Linked DNA regions of Schizosaccharomyces pombe. The protein of the gene in region 1 interacts with the protein of each later gene in a pairwise test. Each region holds a gene or a part of one and is shown in the gene's direction. Other genes may lie near its edges.

Region 1 (8,971 bases):
AATGACAAGGCTAGCACAGTGAATATTGAATTCCCATACCGAGAGGGAATCGTTACTCATCCATCTCCGCAAGCAAAGAATAAATATATTATAAATGCTGGACTATCTCACAATGTAATCGTTTCCAGCCCCAGCGTCCTTGCTCCTAGAACAAGGGTCACGGTTCGATTAAAAGCGCAGTCTCCAAACGAAGAAGGCCAGCTTCAAGGTGATATCGTGTCTTTTTCAGCTCCACGAGAAAAAGGTGGTCATTATTGGGGTTACAAGGTGCGGTCATGTCTTTCTTCTCAGCTGTGTAAAAGTTCTCCTTACAAAGGTGGATATGACTTTGTTGTTCAAATCAACAGTCAGACTTCAGCTATTACTTCAAAAGAGTTAGAAGCGAGTTTACCAAGTTCGTTTCGGCATGCTGTTCTTGTTTTACAAGACAATGTCGTACAAAAAGAGCTCGTAGACTCCACTGCCAAAAGTATTTCTTTTAACCCATTCCCAGTTTCTTTTCTAAATGATCCCATTCCTGAAGAGATACTTTTGGCGGCCATGACCCGTTTGTCAGATATGTTGCTGATGCATGGACGACGATAAAGCCTAAATACTTACAAAGGTGAAGCTGTCTTTTTCTTACTTAAATATTATAAAGCTGTCTCGCTAATCAAGGAAAACAAAATCAATTTTGAATATGATAAATTATAAGGATAACTTGGGTATAAAGACGATATTAGAAACTAAGACGAGAATTATTATGATTAAAATTATATCTAAGAGTGTATTGTTGAAATAAAGAATAAAAAAATTTAAAAGATGATTCGAGTCAATGCAAAAAAGGGTAATTCTGTTGAAGACAAACTCCTATCGAGTGTACCTAGATAAGCAGCCATGTTTAAACACTCATAGAAGCAGGGTTTCCTGATCTCTTTTTAATAAGATTCTCCATAAAATATTCGCCAGCCTTATAGCTACTACGAACAAGTGGACCACTAGCCACGTATAAGAATCCTAATTTCTCTGCCACTTCTTTCCAATATTCAAACTTCTTAGGATGTACATACTCTTGCACTTTTAGGTGTCGTTTGGTAGGTCTCATATATTGACCAAAGGTAACGACATCTACATTATGTTCCAGGAGATCCTTAAGAGTTGTTAGAATTTCCGCATCGGTTTCACCTAGACCAAGCATAATACTGGTTTTAGTGATAAGGTGAGGACATGTTTTCTTCACATGTTTTAGCACGCTCAGACTTTGTCGATATGTGGCTCGTCGATCTCGAACAAATGGGGTAAGTTCCTCTACCGTTTCTACATTGTGTGCAAAGACGTCCAAACCAGATTTAGCTACAATCTCAACCAAATCCATTCTTCCACTAAAATCGGGGGTCAAAGCTTCTACCAAGATGTGCGGGGCTTTTTCTTTAATTTTTTGAATCGTTTTTGCTATATGATTGGCACCAAGGTCAGTCAGGTCATCTCTATCGACACTAGTGAGAACAATGTACCCAAGGTTCCATTGTTTGATGGCTTCTGCTGTATTTTCAGGCTCGTTGGGATCTAAAGGACCTGGACGGCGACTGGTCTTTACCGAACAAAAGCGACATCCACGAGTACAAGTATCACCCATAAGCATGATCGTAGCTGTGGCACGAGATTTGTCTTTACCTCCCCAGCATTCTCCAATATTCGGACATTTCGCTTCTTCACAAACCGTATGGAGATGAGATCCCCGCAAATCATGCTTTATTCGGTTAAAATTTGTTCCTAGTGGAACTTTGGTTTTAAGCCATGAAGGCAATCTTTTGTGTATAGAGCCATTTGGTAGCTCTACTTTTCTATCTAACTCGAAAGCTTCGTCAGCAGTCAATGGTTTATCCATGTTCAAGAAATCTGCAAATGATGGTCCTTTCGCCAACTTTTCTGAAAACCCTCCAGATTGAAACCTCACGGAGGCAAACTATGCTATATTAATAAAACTATAAATAAAAGAAAACTCACCCAAAAATTGTTTTTTAATATCGTAGCATTTCGACCTATTTTCAACATTGCTGTGTAGAGGAAGTAAGGACTATTAGACAGTATGGGATTGGATATAAAGTACTAACCTTACTACTACCTATTATCCGTGTTAGCCCATCAATAGAAAACAGATGTTTTAAACGTTATTTTACCTATTAAACAGTCTCCTTCATAATTCGAAGTTTCGTTTTTTTTGTTGAATACGACTCAGTTTGTGGACAATTGTAAGAAAATTCAAAACATTAAACCAAGCTGTTTACCATAGTTTTGGACACTAATCAGCCAAACTACAAGCGTAAAGTAAAGATATAATTGAATATTTTTTTCAAATAAACTCTCAAAATTTTGTGGTCTCACGTACTATGGTAAATTTCTCGTCATAGGGATTCTCCTATTTTTTGAGTGATTTTCAAAACTTTAGCTTCCTATTATGAATATGTATAGTATGTTTCTGCAAGGTCACTTTGATTTCGACTTCGATTTACTCATTTATGAAAGCCCTGTAAAAACAGGCCTAGACAGATTTTCTATGTAACCTTTTAATTTTAGAGACACATATGAGTATATTTGAAACTTTTTTTGAAAATAATGCTTCTCTTCTTTAACAGCTTCCGTCTTTTTTATGCGTGATTTACAAAATCTCAAGTAAGAATTTTTTCTATTTATTTTCGCATGAGCAATGCTTGACATAAAACGAATTAAGCTGGTTAAAGATTGCTAAATGATATTTGAGAGCAGCTTTGTGCACTCTTTTTCAAGCATTCTCTCATAACTTTTAGCTAGTGCATCTTGTAGTGAATTTAACTTTTGGTTTCTACCTTGGAGGTTGTGGAATGAATTGTTACTAGTATGTCTATTATTAAATGAGAAATACTCAAACTCAGCTTCAATGAAATAGAGATAGATCATGATCAATGGCTGCAAAAGCGAGGTGGCATAACAACCCAAAAGCCATTTGTTTTGGTTTAATTAAATACCCATTGCTTACTTAAAAGGATCTTTACTCTAACGTATAGATATATTTCTTAAAAACGATCAAAGTTTCGTTAGTCTACACCCTAGGTTTCTATTCACAATGTAGTGTGATTTAGGCCAAAATTTAGATAGAAACTAAAAAGTAACTACAAAATAATATTTGAATAAAAAAACTAGATTCTCAAGTTTCTTTCTTTACTGGACGATATTTCGTCCTATGCATTATATTGCCAACCCTTGCTATAAACCAGCTACCTATCTCCACACCACACATCAATTTCTATAAAGTACTCAACTTGAGGACCTTAAGACTAAATATTCATGTCATTTCAAGATAGGACTGCTGAATTTCAAGCATGTGTCACGAAAACTCGATCTCGTTTGAGGACAACGACTGCAAATCAAGCAGTAGGTGGTCCCGATCAAACCAAGCACCAAAAGAGCGAATTTACAAGGATAGCCCAAAAAATTGCTAACCAAATTAATCAAACTGGCGAAAAGTTACAAAAGCTATCACAACGTAAGTATTTAGCTTATTGGGCATAGTCACAAACGAACGTTGCCTAAGTCTTTTCAAATCAAATGGTTAAGTATGGCTAACATTTCTTTAGTTGCAAAAAGGAAGACTTTGTTTGACGATCGGCCAGTAGAAATTCAAGAACTAACATTTCAAATTAAGCAAAGCTTATCGTCTTTAAATTCGGATATAGCTTCACTACAGCAGGTTGTTAAAGGAAATCGTAACAAACCTGCCCAAATGAATCAACATAGCGAGAACGTTGTCGTTTCTTTGCAAAATTCTCTCGCAAACACCAGTATGACCTTTAAAGACATTCTCGAAATTCGGACACAAAACATGAAAGCATCCCAGAACCGCACAGAAAAATTTGTTGCCTCGAGTTCCATGAATGCTAACCCCCTTATAAATTCTGGAAACTCGATTTCACCATTTGCTGATTACAATGATCCTAAACCTGAAGCTAATGAAGACTATTTATCCTTGAATCTCGGGGATGGTGCTAACACTCGTTATGAGCAAATGGCCTTACTTGAAAGCCAGACTGATACGTATTCCCAGCAGCGTATGTCTTCTATACAAAACATCGAAAGTACTATTACCGAGTTGGGTGGTATTTTTTCGCAATTAGCACAGATGGTCTCTGAGCAACGTGAAACCGTACAACGGATTGACATGCATACAGATGATATCGTCTCAAATATTGGAAGTGCCCAGAGAGAGATTGTCAAGTTTTATGAACGGATGTCTTCAAATCGAGCACTACTTTTCAAAATTTTCGGTATAGTGATTATATTTTTCCTTCTTTGGGTGCTCGTTACTTGAGTGCAAAAAAACATGCAATCCTCTTTTCTTTTTTTACAAGTCTGTACAAATCTTTTGACATACCGAAAACTATGCCGCCTGTATTTTTCACCCAACTTCATTAATTTTTATCCTTTTTCTACCAATACCGGAATACCTAGTATCCTGTCGATTTAATGCCTTATGGTTTAATCTTTAAATATAGAAATAACACCGAAAAGTTTATTCGTGTCCATCCAAAAATTGTAAATGACTCTTATTAAATACCTGGACCTGTCGTCATTTCATTCCTTTTCCTTATTTGTGGTATCATATTTTTCTTTTATTTCTCTATGGACTCGCTTTCCTCGTCAGAAGCAATAATTGTTTCTTGTACATTTGCTTCGATTTCTTCCAGCGGCCAATTTGTTTCCTCTTTTGTAATTGTACATTCTGAGACTTGATAGGCTAATGCAGCTAGCACATTATCACTAAAATTATTGGTGAGTCTTTAGAAAAAATATGAATTTCAGTTTACTTACTTTGCTGTCTGTATCCAATAAGCATAATCGTTTAGTACTATAGCGTTGTATATATAATAGACATCGTGATGTTCAAAAAGGTTTCGAATACGAAGTAAAACTCTCAATATCCAACGCTTTCCAAGGCTCAAAATCGCATGGGTGTCTTTCCAACAAGTGAGGGCAAGGTCCCAATTTCTATACAAAGGGTATGCCAACGAACGTCTAATACATGCAATAAATATATCTTTGATTGCAAGGAAATTTGTATCGAGACAAGATATCGTGGATGAAAGTGTTCCGATATTCCAACATGATTCAATAGTTGGATCACCCAAAGTAGTCCTATTGTCGTATGCGTATGCAAAAATCAAAGGAACTAAACAAAGATAAACATTCTTCGGATTGTCAATAAGGTAGCTTCGCTTTGGTAATTTGGCTAAAGCTTCTTTTTCTTCGCTTGTAAATTCTAAAAGTCTGTCGGATTTGCCTTGTTGGACCAGCAAAAATTCCCCAATATAATCAGGAATATAATGCAATATTTCATCGATCATCTCCCTGTCATAAAAATCTGCCATATAATGTTCAGCATCAAATTTTTCATCTTCTAGCTGTACACGTATTTCACTTCTCGTAGAAGGAGGAGTTCGCTCTGGTTCAGGAATTTGATTAATTTCATTTCCAACCAAAGCATTATACTTCAGCAGTCCTGAATACTGATTATTGAAACCGTATTGAGACGTAGATGTGTACTGCATCTAATGATAAAGTTAGAATGTCGACAAGTCGCGCAAGAAACAAACCTTTTCATCATCTAACCGTTGCAACAGGCCCCAATCGAAATCGGGATCATCGAAATGAATATTCTGCCAGTCAATTTTAACCTCTTTTTCTTCATCCTTGCTGGCATTTTGCGAAGTTGAAGGTGATGGGGTATCTTCCACTTCCTCGATTAAGGGCTTTTTGACAGGTTCTTTGTTTTGGTTTACAAGTAAAGTAGTTAGTAAATCCAAGTCTGGAAATACTTCTCCAGGAGTCTCCTTGGGAAATTTAATATGCACAAAACCACTTGAAATATCGTATGAAGCGTTAGCCCGATCATCATCTAAAACGTTACCAGGCAGTTCTAGTCTTTGGGAAAAAGTTAGTAAACACTGCTTCAATTTTAATAAGAAATATTTAGATAGCCCAAATACTTATGGGATTTAGAAAAGACTTACTTAAGGAAATAAGGTGCAATGCAAAAGTTCACTTCATTGTTAAAAGCATCAATTTCAACGTTTTTAGCCTGCCTTGGTGAGTTATTACTCGATTAGAATAAGAACCATACCTTTATATACGGAGTATGCACATCTAAATACACAAATTCTTCATCCTGCCTCAATTCAAATTTTGGAGTGATCATTGCAGCTGGATGGTTTTGAATGCATTGCAATTAAAATTTCGGATTGGTCATTATCTTAAGAACTCATTTTCAATTTTTTAAATAGTTTATGAATAAGTTTAGATCACTTAAATTACCGTGAATTTGCAGATTGAGTGACCTATTCTTTAATTAGTTTAGAAACAAAGGACTGTTAGAATCACCATCAATGAAAGATAATGTATTTAATTTGTTCACTAGTTAATGTTTTCAGAACGGGAAGGATTCACGAAATTGTCTTTAGCTGGGAAAGCAATTTGGTCACTTACATGCCCATACTTACAATTTTTAACAACTTAAAGGTTTAAAGTATATGAAGTAGTAAAATATATTATATACGAATTGTTGAATCAATTTATTTCTACTAAAGCAGAAATACTGTTTTCTTTATAGAGATGCTGATTCGAGTGCTAGTATTCCCTACTTCAACTCCCTCTCCTCTCATATCAGTTTTCCTTGTTTTATCCTAATTGTGGTCAGTGGTCACTTCGTAGCATACAAGGATAATGAATGCTTTAAATAAAATACCTTTCACAAGAGCGCTGTATCATTTTTCAAGGTTCCGATCATTCACGACTTCAGGATGGATTATGTCTGGGCATAACAGTAAGTTATTGATTTATAAGCTAGTTATAGTGTTTTTGCTTCTATGAATTTTCAAGATAAAACAAAAGTAAAAAACGAGACCCATTGTAGTAAAGAATGTAGGCTACTCAATGTTGACTATGATTCTTTGCTGAATTACTGGGATCTTTCACATAAGACAGAAGAATTGAAAGTGATAAAATTTGAACTGTATTCATATCCACTTTTATAAAGTGTTCAGTTAATTGCTCGAACATACAATTAAGTGAATGTTCAGGTTTTCTTGCAAACTGGGTTACTGTCAACAACAGTGAATTTATAAGATCCATAGACACTATAATGTTACCAGTTTTATATACGCATATTAACCTTTATAGAGTGGTCAAAAATTAAGCACAAAAAATCGGCGAATGACCAGGCAAGAAGTTTACAAATTGGAAAGTAAGGGCTCGTCTTGTTTCACACTACTATCTAATAACAGTTACTAATATTACTGTGTATCCAGACTTTCACAGGGAATCATTCTAGCAGTTCGACAAGAAGGTGCCAATCCTGAATTGAATATGCGGCTGGCGACACTACTAGAGAGTGCCAAGAAAATATCCATGCCGAAATCTGGTATTGAAAATGCAATTAATCGAGGATTGGGTACGGCTGGAAGTGAAGGTTCGCAAGTTCATTTTATTGAGTATGAAGCAATGCATCCATCAGGAGTCGGTCTTATAGTTGAAGCGGTTACAGACAATCGAGCTCGAGCTGCTTCTTCAATCAAACATATTTTACGAAATCATGGGGCTTCTTTATCGACTGTCAAATTTTTGTTTAGCAAAAAGGGTAAGGTGGAAGTAAATCTTCCTCCAGAAAAACGAGATTCTATGAAATTTGAAGATGTTCTCGACGATGCTATTGAAGCTGGCGCAGAGGACATAGTCAATAGGCCCAAAGAGTACATAGACGAAGAAGATGAAGGTGAATTTTTGATTTTAACCGAGCCCTCTAGTTTAAACCAGGTGGCTCATCATTTTCGATCTAAAAACTATGAAATCAAAGATTCTCGTTTAATCCATATTCCTCTGGAAGAAACGGCTATCGATGTACCTGCAAAAGATTCTGTCAGAGAAGATATTCAAAAATTAATCGACGACTTGTATGAAAACGAGGATGTAATGTTCATTCATTTGAGTATACTGAATTCCCACTTTTTGCCTATTCTTGATGAATAAGGTTAAAAAAAAGAAAATTAAAAAATATGAAACTTTTTTCTCCTTGATGAATCATATAATACTATGAGATTTGATTACTTACAAACTATGAGCTAGTTGCTCTAACGTCTACAAAAACAATGTTGCGATGCAATTAAATTTTTAAATAAATCTATGTGGTTTTTGCTGATCGACTTAAAAAATATGCTCATAAATAAATAGTTCATTATCACCTATTTCATAGACTGGAAAGCATGTAATAATTAAACCTTGTGATAGAAAAGTACAAAAGACAAGTAAAAGTCAAATCTTCAAAATCCATCTTTTCCGGCCTCCATAAAGATTCCAGTCTCATGTTTTATAAGATGTACTCTTGATCCATATCGTCAACAAGAGGATCGTTGGAATCACGCGAAAAAACGGTTGATATACTGGGCGCTAATTGCCTTTGAACAACTTGAGCAGTGGTATTAGTCCTAGGCATGTGAGCACGCTTCCTTTGCCGAAAAGAACCAGCAACCTCGCGCACCAGTACTTCGAAGACTCGATTTACCACTGAGGACTCAGTATCCAAAACTTCGACAAAGTTCTCAAAGCTGAAATTTTCAAGCTGCTCAGGTAATCTTCCATTATAATGTTCAAGCGCTTGATCAATCAGCTTCTTTGTTTTTCTATTGAAATTTGCAACATGGTCGTTTGAACTGGACTCTATTAAAGGGCGTCCCATAACACCAAGATGCTACGCCGACAATTTATTCAAGACCCTCTGAAAATTTCAATACTAATTGAATATGTGATATACGCTGTTTCTAAGGGAGAATCAGGCAGGTCCCACCACCTTGCCTCCAGGCTAAGCAATGATAAATTTCAGTGCACAAATTTGCAATTCGTTACTAACAGGTAACATGTTACCCACACTTGAAGAAAGGGATTGATGCTTACGCTGAAGGATAAAAAG
Region 2 (6,617 bases), on another chromosome or scaffold:
AACAACGGTCACTTCGTTGATAGTGATTGCTGCTTTCAAGAGACAGGAAGTACTGGCACGGCCAACAGCATTTGCACTTTAAATGATTCAGAAGATGATAACAGTAGTCTTAATTCAGTGGACAATAATGAATGTACCAACCTTGACTGTGGTGGTAAAAAGCACAAAAATCTTTCACCTAATCCTTCTTTCCATGTAAACATCAATGCCGCAGAATTTATTCCGAAATCTCATAATGGGTATGCTCCTAAATCAATGAATCCCCCTCCCGAACAACTCGATTCTCCTTGTTATCCTCATTTTGACCAGGACTCTTCTTCAGTCATTTATCCTTCTCCACCTTCAACCTATTACCCCAACATGTATGTTTCAGCAAACACCTTCATACCGATGCCCTATGCCCACTATACCGACAATATGTATCATGCAAAACCTGTAAACCGTCCAAATTTCCTACCTCGAGAAGGTACTCCTCCTCCGTTTGCCCAACAACCTGCGGAGCAATTTTCACCATTCAATTCAGAATACGAATCCTTGTTAGATTTTCGTGCTTTAATCCTTGGTAACTTGCCAGTTGACTACAAAATTTCCGAATTACTTTCGCTTATCCACTCTGGACCATTAGAGAAGATTCAGTCCAACCCTGGAAAACGCAGGATTATAATTACATTTCTTGATTCTGCTGATGCCTTTTTCTTTTATGAAAGGTACCATCCTCGTGGATTCATTTTTCATGGTAGGCCACTCAAATTGACATTTGCTAGACCTTCTCCTTTACCTGAATCGATTCAAAATTTTTGCTCGAACACTGCGGCCAGCCGTAATGTGTTCATCGGCAATCTTCCTTCTTCTTATCACGAGAAGGAAATTGAAGAAGCGTTTGGTAAATTCGGCAAGATTGAGCACATAAAAATCCTCTCGAAAAAGAATATTGCTTTTGTTCACTTTTTGAACATCCGCGACGCAATCAAGGTTGTTCGTACCTTATCTTGCGATCCTGACTATCACTCATGGCGAATATTTTTTGGCTCAGATCGCTGTGCAAATCATCCACCTTCATTTGATGAAAGGTCATGTTTCACTTCCAAGCAAAATCCGGATACCACGTCTGACCGTTGCAGGCAGCAGGAATCAAAAGACAATGGAAACCGTACTGTCTTCCTTGGCAATCTCCATACTAAGACTAAAGGACATGAAATATGCGATCTAATCCGACATGGAGGGTTACAAGACTTCCACTATATTCCTGAAAAACATATATGCTTCGTTACATTTATAACGTATTCGGCCGCCAACGCTTTCCACGACTACTTGGCTGAGGAAGAAGTTTTATTACACGGTCGAAGAATTAAAGTAGGATGGGGTAAAGAAAGTGGACCTTTGCCCAGAGTTTTAGAAGATTCTATATTGATGGGCGCTTCCAGAAATGTTTACTTCAGCCATATATCAGATTCACTTACTACCGAAGAGTTAGAGCTCATACTGCGTCAGTATGGAGAGATTGAATCAATTAAATATTTAAAAAATAGAAGTTCTGGATTCGTTGCCTATACAAATATATCTAATGCCATGAAGGCTGTCAATGGCTTGCCTATACATCCTTTGTTCAAGAAGAGCAAAATCCGCTATGCTCCTGATAGATGCGAACAAGAGCTTCAAAAGTCTAAATCCAACTCTCCTATCCAACAGAATGTTCCATTGCAGCAATTTATTACTCCACCGTTTTCATATCCTGTAGCTTATTGTCCAGCAATTCCTCCAGGTTCGGATCCAATATTAAATTTTGGTATCCAGTATCAGCCCTTTATCCCCTTTACAGCCGTTCCCTCTTTTCCTTTCAACTGCAATGTTCCGAACTATCCTCAAACATCCGACCACGAAAACGACTAGTTCCAATACTCGCGAAGTAACTTTTGTTCATCAGCAAGTCAGTATGTTTCCATTTATTTTTGCTTATTCTCAATTCTACGGGTATTCACTCAGCATGCAAATTTAGTTTGTAACAGAGACTCCCAAAAACTTAACACTAACTCCTCTGAAAAAAACTTGAAAATTGTCCAAACCTAACTAAACATTGCCTTAAAAAAATCTAAAATTCCAAAAAAAATTGAAAAAGAAAAAATTCAGAAAAAAAACTCTTTTTATTCTTGACTCTAATTAAACCTTATTACTGAAAGTTTTTGATTTATCGTTTTTACACGTTTTGATTGTTTCCCACCCAAATTTGAAATTTTTTTGCTTTGTCACATTACTACTCTTCCGTGATTTCCAATGTCTTCTTTTAAATTATGTAATTTTTTGTCTTTAAAGAAAAATTACCTTCAACCTTCTGAGCAGAGTTTTATTCATTCAATGTGTCAATTAGTTTTTCAAACCATTCTTCTATCACTAAGAGAAGCCGGTCTGTGAACTTTTACTTTTCTTACCTATTAAAGATTACTTACTTCTTGCTGATGAATTCATGAACCCTTCTCGATCCGTTACTTCATGGGTAGTTTGTTCATTTACCATTATCCATTTTTTACTATTACCACAATATTTTCCCATTTGCTACTGTTTCCGTTGATGCCGGTTTTAAGCTAACCCACCAGCCAATTTTGCATTTTTCCAGCTTGCTATCATTAAACCAACTATTCTCACTTATACACATTATCATTGTACTATCCACTGACGAATTCTTTACTATTTCTCCCGTTTGATTACAGCTCAGCTTTCCAGAATCATTGTTATTGTTCCTCGTCATGATCACTATTATCCTTTGTTCACAACCAATTAATTGACTATCTTCATTCTATCATTCCATCGACCCCATCACCAGTTCGTTTACCATTTGCTTTCTTGATAGCATTCAGCTTGATCACACTAATTTTATTTTTTTCTTGAGCTTCCATATTTATCGCTTATTCTTGCTTTTACTATTCTAGGATTAACGTACTCACCATTTTCTTTTCTTTCAAAGCTCAATTATTGACGTTACTCCCAACACTTTGCTTACTACCGTTTTTTGTTATCATAATCGTTCTGTCATTTCATTTTGTCATCACTATCCTTGTCCTTATTCCGTTTTTTTTGAGATTTTTGTTTTATCATTATCATTATTCGAGTCCGACACCTTCTTTGTCATATTTTCGGTTTACTTTGCCCAATTCCTTCCATCAATACATTGTTTAATTATATTTTCCATCCATCATTGCTGTTAATTAATTACTATTACGATGATTAGGTCTACGGTATCATTATCATCATAATGATCAATGAATAATTTCATATTTTGTTTAATTCAGTCTAAAAAAATAAACGAAGACATGCCTTCTACTTATTTGATCCCATGAGCAACTTTAGCCATCGTATATGATCCTAGACACTTAGAATATGCAAATCATTAATGGCTAAATTCATAATTAAGAGCTTTTTGCGTTTGGATACTCTTTTAATAATTGTATCTTTATAAGTAAATAGTAAAGTAAGAACACCTCTTAGAAATATATGTAATGTAAGCACAGTTAGAAAGCTGAGATTAAATCTTAGAAAAGTAAACTACTGAACGCAAGATTGATTTCCTTCCTACGCTTTGAATGTTTCCGGTGCACTAGTACTGTTTTTTTAAATATCTAAAAATTTAATGAAAATCAGAAATCTTTAGTAAAGATTGAAGACTACAAGATTTGGTAAAACAGCCAAACCTCAATATTTATTTTGTTGTTTACCTTTTTGAACATTTAGCGAGACTCGCTTCACTGCCATACACCACCATATGAAGGGTATGATTCTTATGTTTATCCCTCAACACAAATCATCCTTCTAAGTGCTTATATTAGTGCCAAAGTTGGAATTGGCACGATGTCTATTGCATCTGTAAAAACACCGTCTTCTTTGAGAGAAGCTCAAATTCGTAAGTAGTGTTGCTAATAAAACTGTATAATTCTCAGTAAGCATTGCTAATATGAACCTTTAGAATCTTTAGAAAAACTGCTTAATTTGAACCAAGACGTCAACGAACTTGAATCAAGCCCTCAACATGCCTCTAATTTTCCCATTTGGAAAGTTTTAATCTTCGATAAGGCAGGGTCGGAGACTATTTCTTCTGTTCTCAGAATTAGTGATCTCAGAAAACATGGCGTTACGGTTCACATGAATATCACTTCGTTTCGTCAGCCTATTGCTGATGTCCCAGCTATTTACTTTGTTCAACCTACTCAAGAAAACATTGAGCTAATAATAGAGGTATGGATTTCTCAGTATCATAATTTTCAATCAATTAATCTTATTGTCGGATACCAAATACTTTTTTGTATTACAGTTCAGCAAGCTAACATATTTTAAAGGATCTTTCGAAGGGTCTTTACGAATCAGCCTATGTCTGTTTTTCATCTACCATTTCTCGTGCTCTTCTGGAACAGTTTGCCGAATTGGCGTCGAAAACAAATACAAGTCACATGATTCATCAAGTGTATGACCAGTATCTTAATTATGTTGTGTTAGAAAGTGATTTTTTTTCTCTTCAACTGCCCAAAATCTTTCATACGTTCCATAACCCGTCTTCAGATGAGGCTCTCATTAATTCACGCGTTCAGGATATTGTAAATGGTCTCTTTTCAGTGATCGTTACACTCGGAACCATTCCTATCATTCGTTGCCCACAAGGATCGGCTGCTGAGATGGTTGCCCAAAAGTTGAATCAACGTCTAAAGGACCATTTAATGAATACCAAGGATGCTTTTGTTTCTGTTAATCCAAAACCAAGGCCAATTCTTATTTTACTGGATAGAACGGTCGATTTGATTCCAATGATAAATCATTCTTGGACTTACCAAGCTTTGATTCATGATACCCTAAATATGCAACTCAATAGGATTACCGTAGAGTCAGTCGATGATGGAAAAATGACAAAGCGGTTTTACGATTTAGATGGAAATGATTTTTTCTGGGAAAGTAATGCTAGCAAACCATTTCCTAAAGTTGCCGAAAACATTGATGAAGAGTTGACTCGATATAAAAATGATGCTAGTGAAATTACCCGAAAATCCGGTGTTTCTTCACTTGAAGAAGTTAATGTTGACGCATTTGCTGATTCGACTTATTTAAAAAGTGCAGTTAGCTTGCTCCCAGAGCTTACAGCTCGTAAACAAATCCTTGACATGCATATGAATATAGCAACTGCATTATTAAAAGCTATTCAAGAGCGCCATTTAGATGACTTTTTTCAGTTAGAAGATAATATAACTGGACTAAACAGAAGTGCCATTCTCGCTTGCATCAATAACAAGGAACAAGGAACTCCCGAAGACAAGCTACGATTTTTTATAATTTGGTATTTAAGTGTTGATTCCGTACCGGCTTCTGATTTGCAGGCATATGAAGAGGCGTTGGTTAACAATGGCTGTACATTAGAAGCATTAAATTTTGTTAAGAGGTATACTGATTGATGTTATTGGTTTTTTCTAACTTATATTAGGGTTCGTGAAATAACTAAAATGACCATGTTAGCATCTTCTACCACAAGACCAGCTACGGGTCAAACAGGAGATAATTTATTTCGTGGATTTAGCAGTCTTTCCACAAGGGTAAGAATAGTTTGACACTTTTTCACCTTAAAGCACATATTAATTGTTTTTAGTTTACCGACCGCTTTAAAGAAGCCGGTATTGGTGGCCTTGAAAATATTATTTCGGGGGTTAGAAATCTGATTCCCTTCAGGAAGGATGGGACTATTACATCTATTGTTCAGAGTCTAATGGACCCTGGCTCTTCTCCTGCCTCCAAACAAACAGAGTCTTATCTATTATTAGATCCCAAATCAGCTCGTGCTATTACTGTAAACAATGATCCTAGGGCCATGAACAAAAGACAGACTTTTAGTGAAGCAATTGTTTGCGTACTAGGAGGTGGTAATTATTTAGAATATGGTAATCTGGCTGATTGGGCGCGTGAACAAAATCCTAAGAAGCGTATCATATACGGTAGTACCGACATATTATCGCCATCTGAATTTATGGAAGAAATGGCTTCTCTATCTTAAAAAATTATTTAGTTTTATTTTTTGGCCATCATGTTTGTTCAGCCAATATTGTATGAAATAAATGATTTACTCTTAATTTGATACATGACTTTTTTGTCGAATTTGTGTAGTCCATCATCGTATTGAAAATTTGGAAAGCATCAATGTTCATTATACGCAAATCGCGGTTATTTGTAAACGACATATACTTTCAGACCAAGAGCTGAGGGAACAGAAAAAAGAAAATGTAATTGCTGTTCTAAAACTCAAACAAAAAAAAAAAAAAAAAAATTAACAAAAAAAAATTTCAAAAACATATAATTCATAAGATTCTCAGTTATAACTTAAGTTAGACATGGCTTAAAATATGTAAGTTGTGAAAATCTTCAGTTTATATAGCATTCGAGTAATTTGGTATCGAAAGAGATGGATTTTGTAAAACGTTTGATGAAGCATCTGATATAGAAGATGACAAATTAGAAAAAATTGAACTTAATTGCGAATTCGAAGTAGCTGAGTATGCATTCGTGTTATTTTCAGAAACTTGCTGCACTAAACCATTAAATCCCAATTCAGTTGTTGCTTGAGTGTCAGACGAGACTAGCTTGATGTGAGCAGG

What was found. The genes of interacting proteins can lie anywhere in the genome.
Region 2: the proteins of sed5 (region 1) and sly1 interact in a two-hybrid assay, tested with the Schizosaccharomyces pombe proteins (one large-scale study listed by BioGRID).

The regions. Positions count from the first base shown.
Region 1 is NC_003423.3:1,379,361-1,388,331, reverse strand, and holds sed5 (SNARE protein Sed5), read left to right. Parts: upstream 1-3,236; 5' UTR 3,237-3,303; coding exon 3,304-3,502; exon of another isoform or gene 3,503-3,593; coding exon 3,594-4,324; 3' UTR 4,325-4,625; coding exon of another isoform or gene 4,626-4,773; 3' UTR 4,774-4,824; coding exon of another isoform or gene 4,825-5,561; 3' UTR 5,562-5,606; coding exon of another isoform or gene 5,607-5,934; 3' UTR 5,935-6,023; coding exon of another isoform or gene 6,024-6,091; 3' UTR 6,092-6,133; coding exon of another isoform or gene 6,134-6,208; 3' UTR 6,209-6,422; downstream 6,423-8,971. Other genes in the region: SPOM_SPBC8D2.16C (uncharacterized protein), read left to right, coding at 1-585; lipoic acid synthetase Lip5, read right to left, coding at 881-1,945, 1,987-2,034; box H/ACA snoRNP assembly protein Shq1, read right to left, coding at 4,626-4,773, 4,825-5,561, 5,607-5,934, 6,024-6,091, 6,134-6,208; tac1 (cytochrome C oxidase subunit I translational activator), read left to right, coding at 6,733-6,832, 7,189-7,252, 7,317-8,034; SPOM_SPBC8D2.11 (uncharacterized protein), read right to left, coding at 8,372-8,740. UniProt on the Schizosaccharomyces pombe protein: Required for vesicular transport between the endoplasmic reticulum and the Golgi complex. Acts as a target organelle soluble NSF attachment protein receptor (t-SNARE).
Region 2 is NC_003421.2:1,919,357-1,925,973, forward strand, and holds sly1 (SNARE-binding protein Sly1), read left to right. Parts: upstream 1-3,803; 5' UTR 3,804-3,840; coding exon 3,841-3,892; intron 3,893-3,955; coding exon 3,956-4,224; intron 4,225-4,325; coding exon 4,326-5,413; exon of another isoform or gene 5,414-5,455; coding exon 5,456-5,564; exon of another isoform or gene 5,565-5,617; coding exon 5,618-6,019; 3' UTR 6,020-6,117; downstream 6,118-6,617. Other genes in the region: mug24 (rrm type RNA-binding protein), read left to right, coding at 1-1,890; ppn1 (cleavage and polyadenylation specificity factor complex-associated protein), read right to left, coding at 6,390-6,617.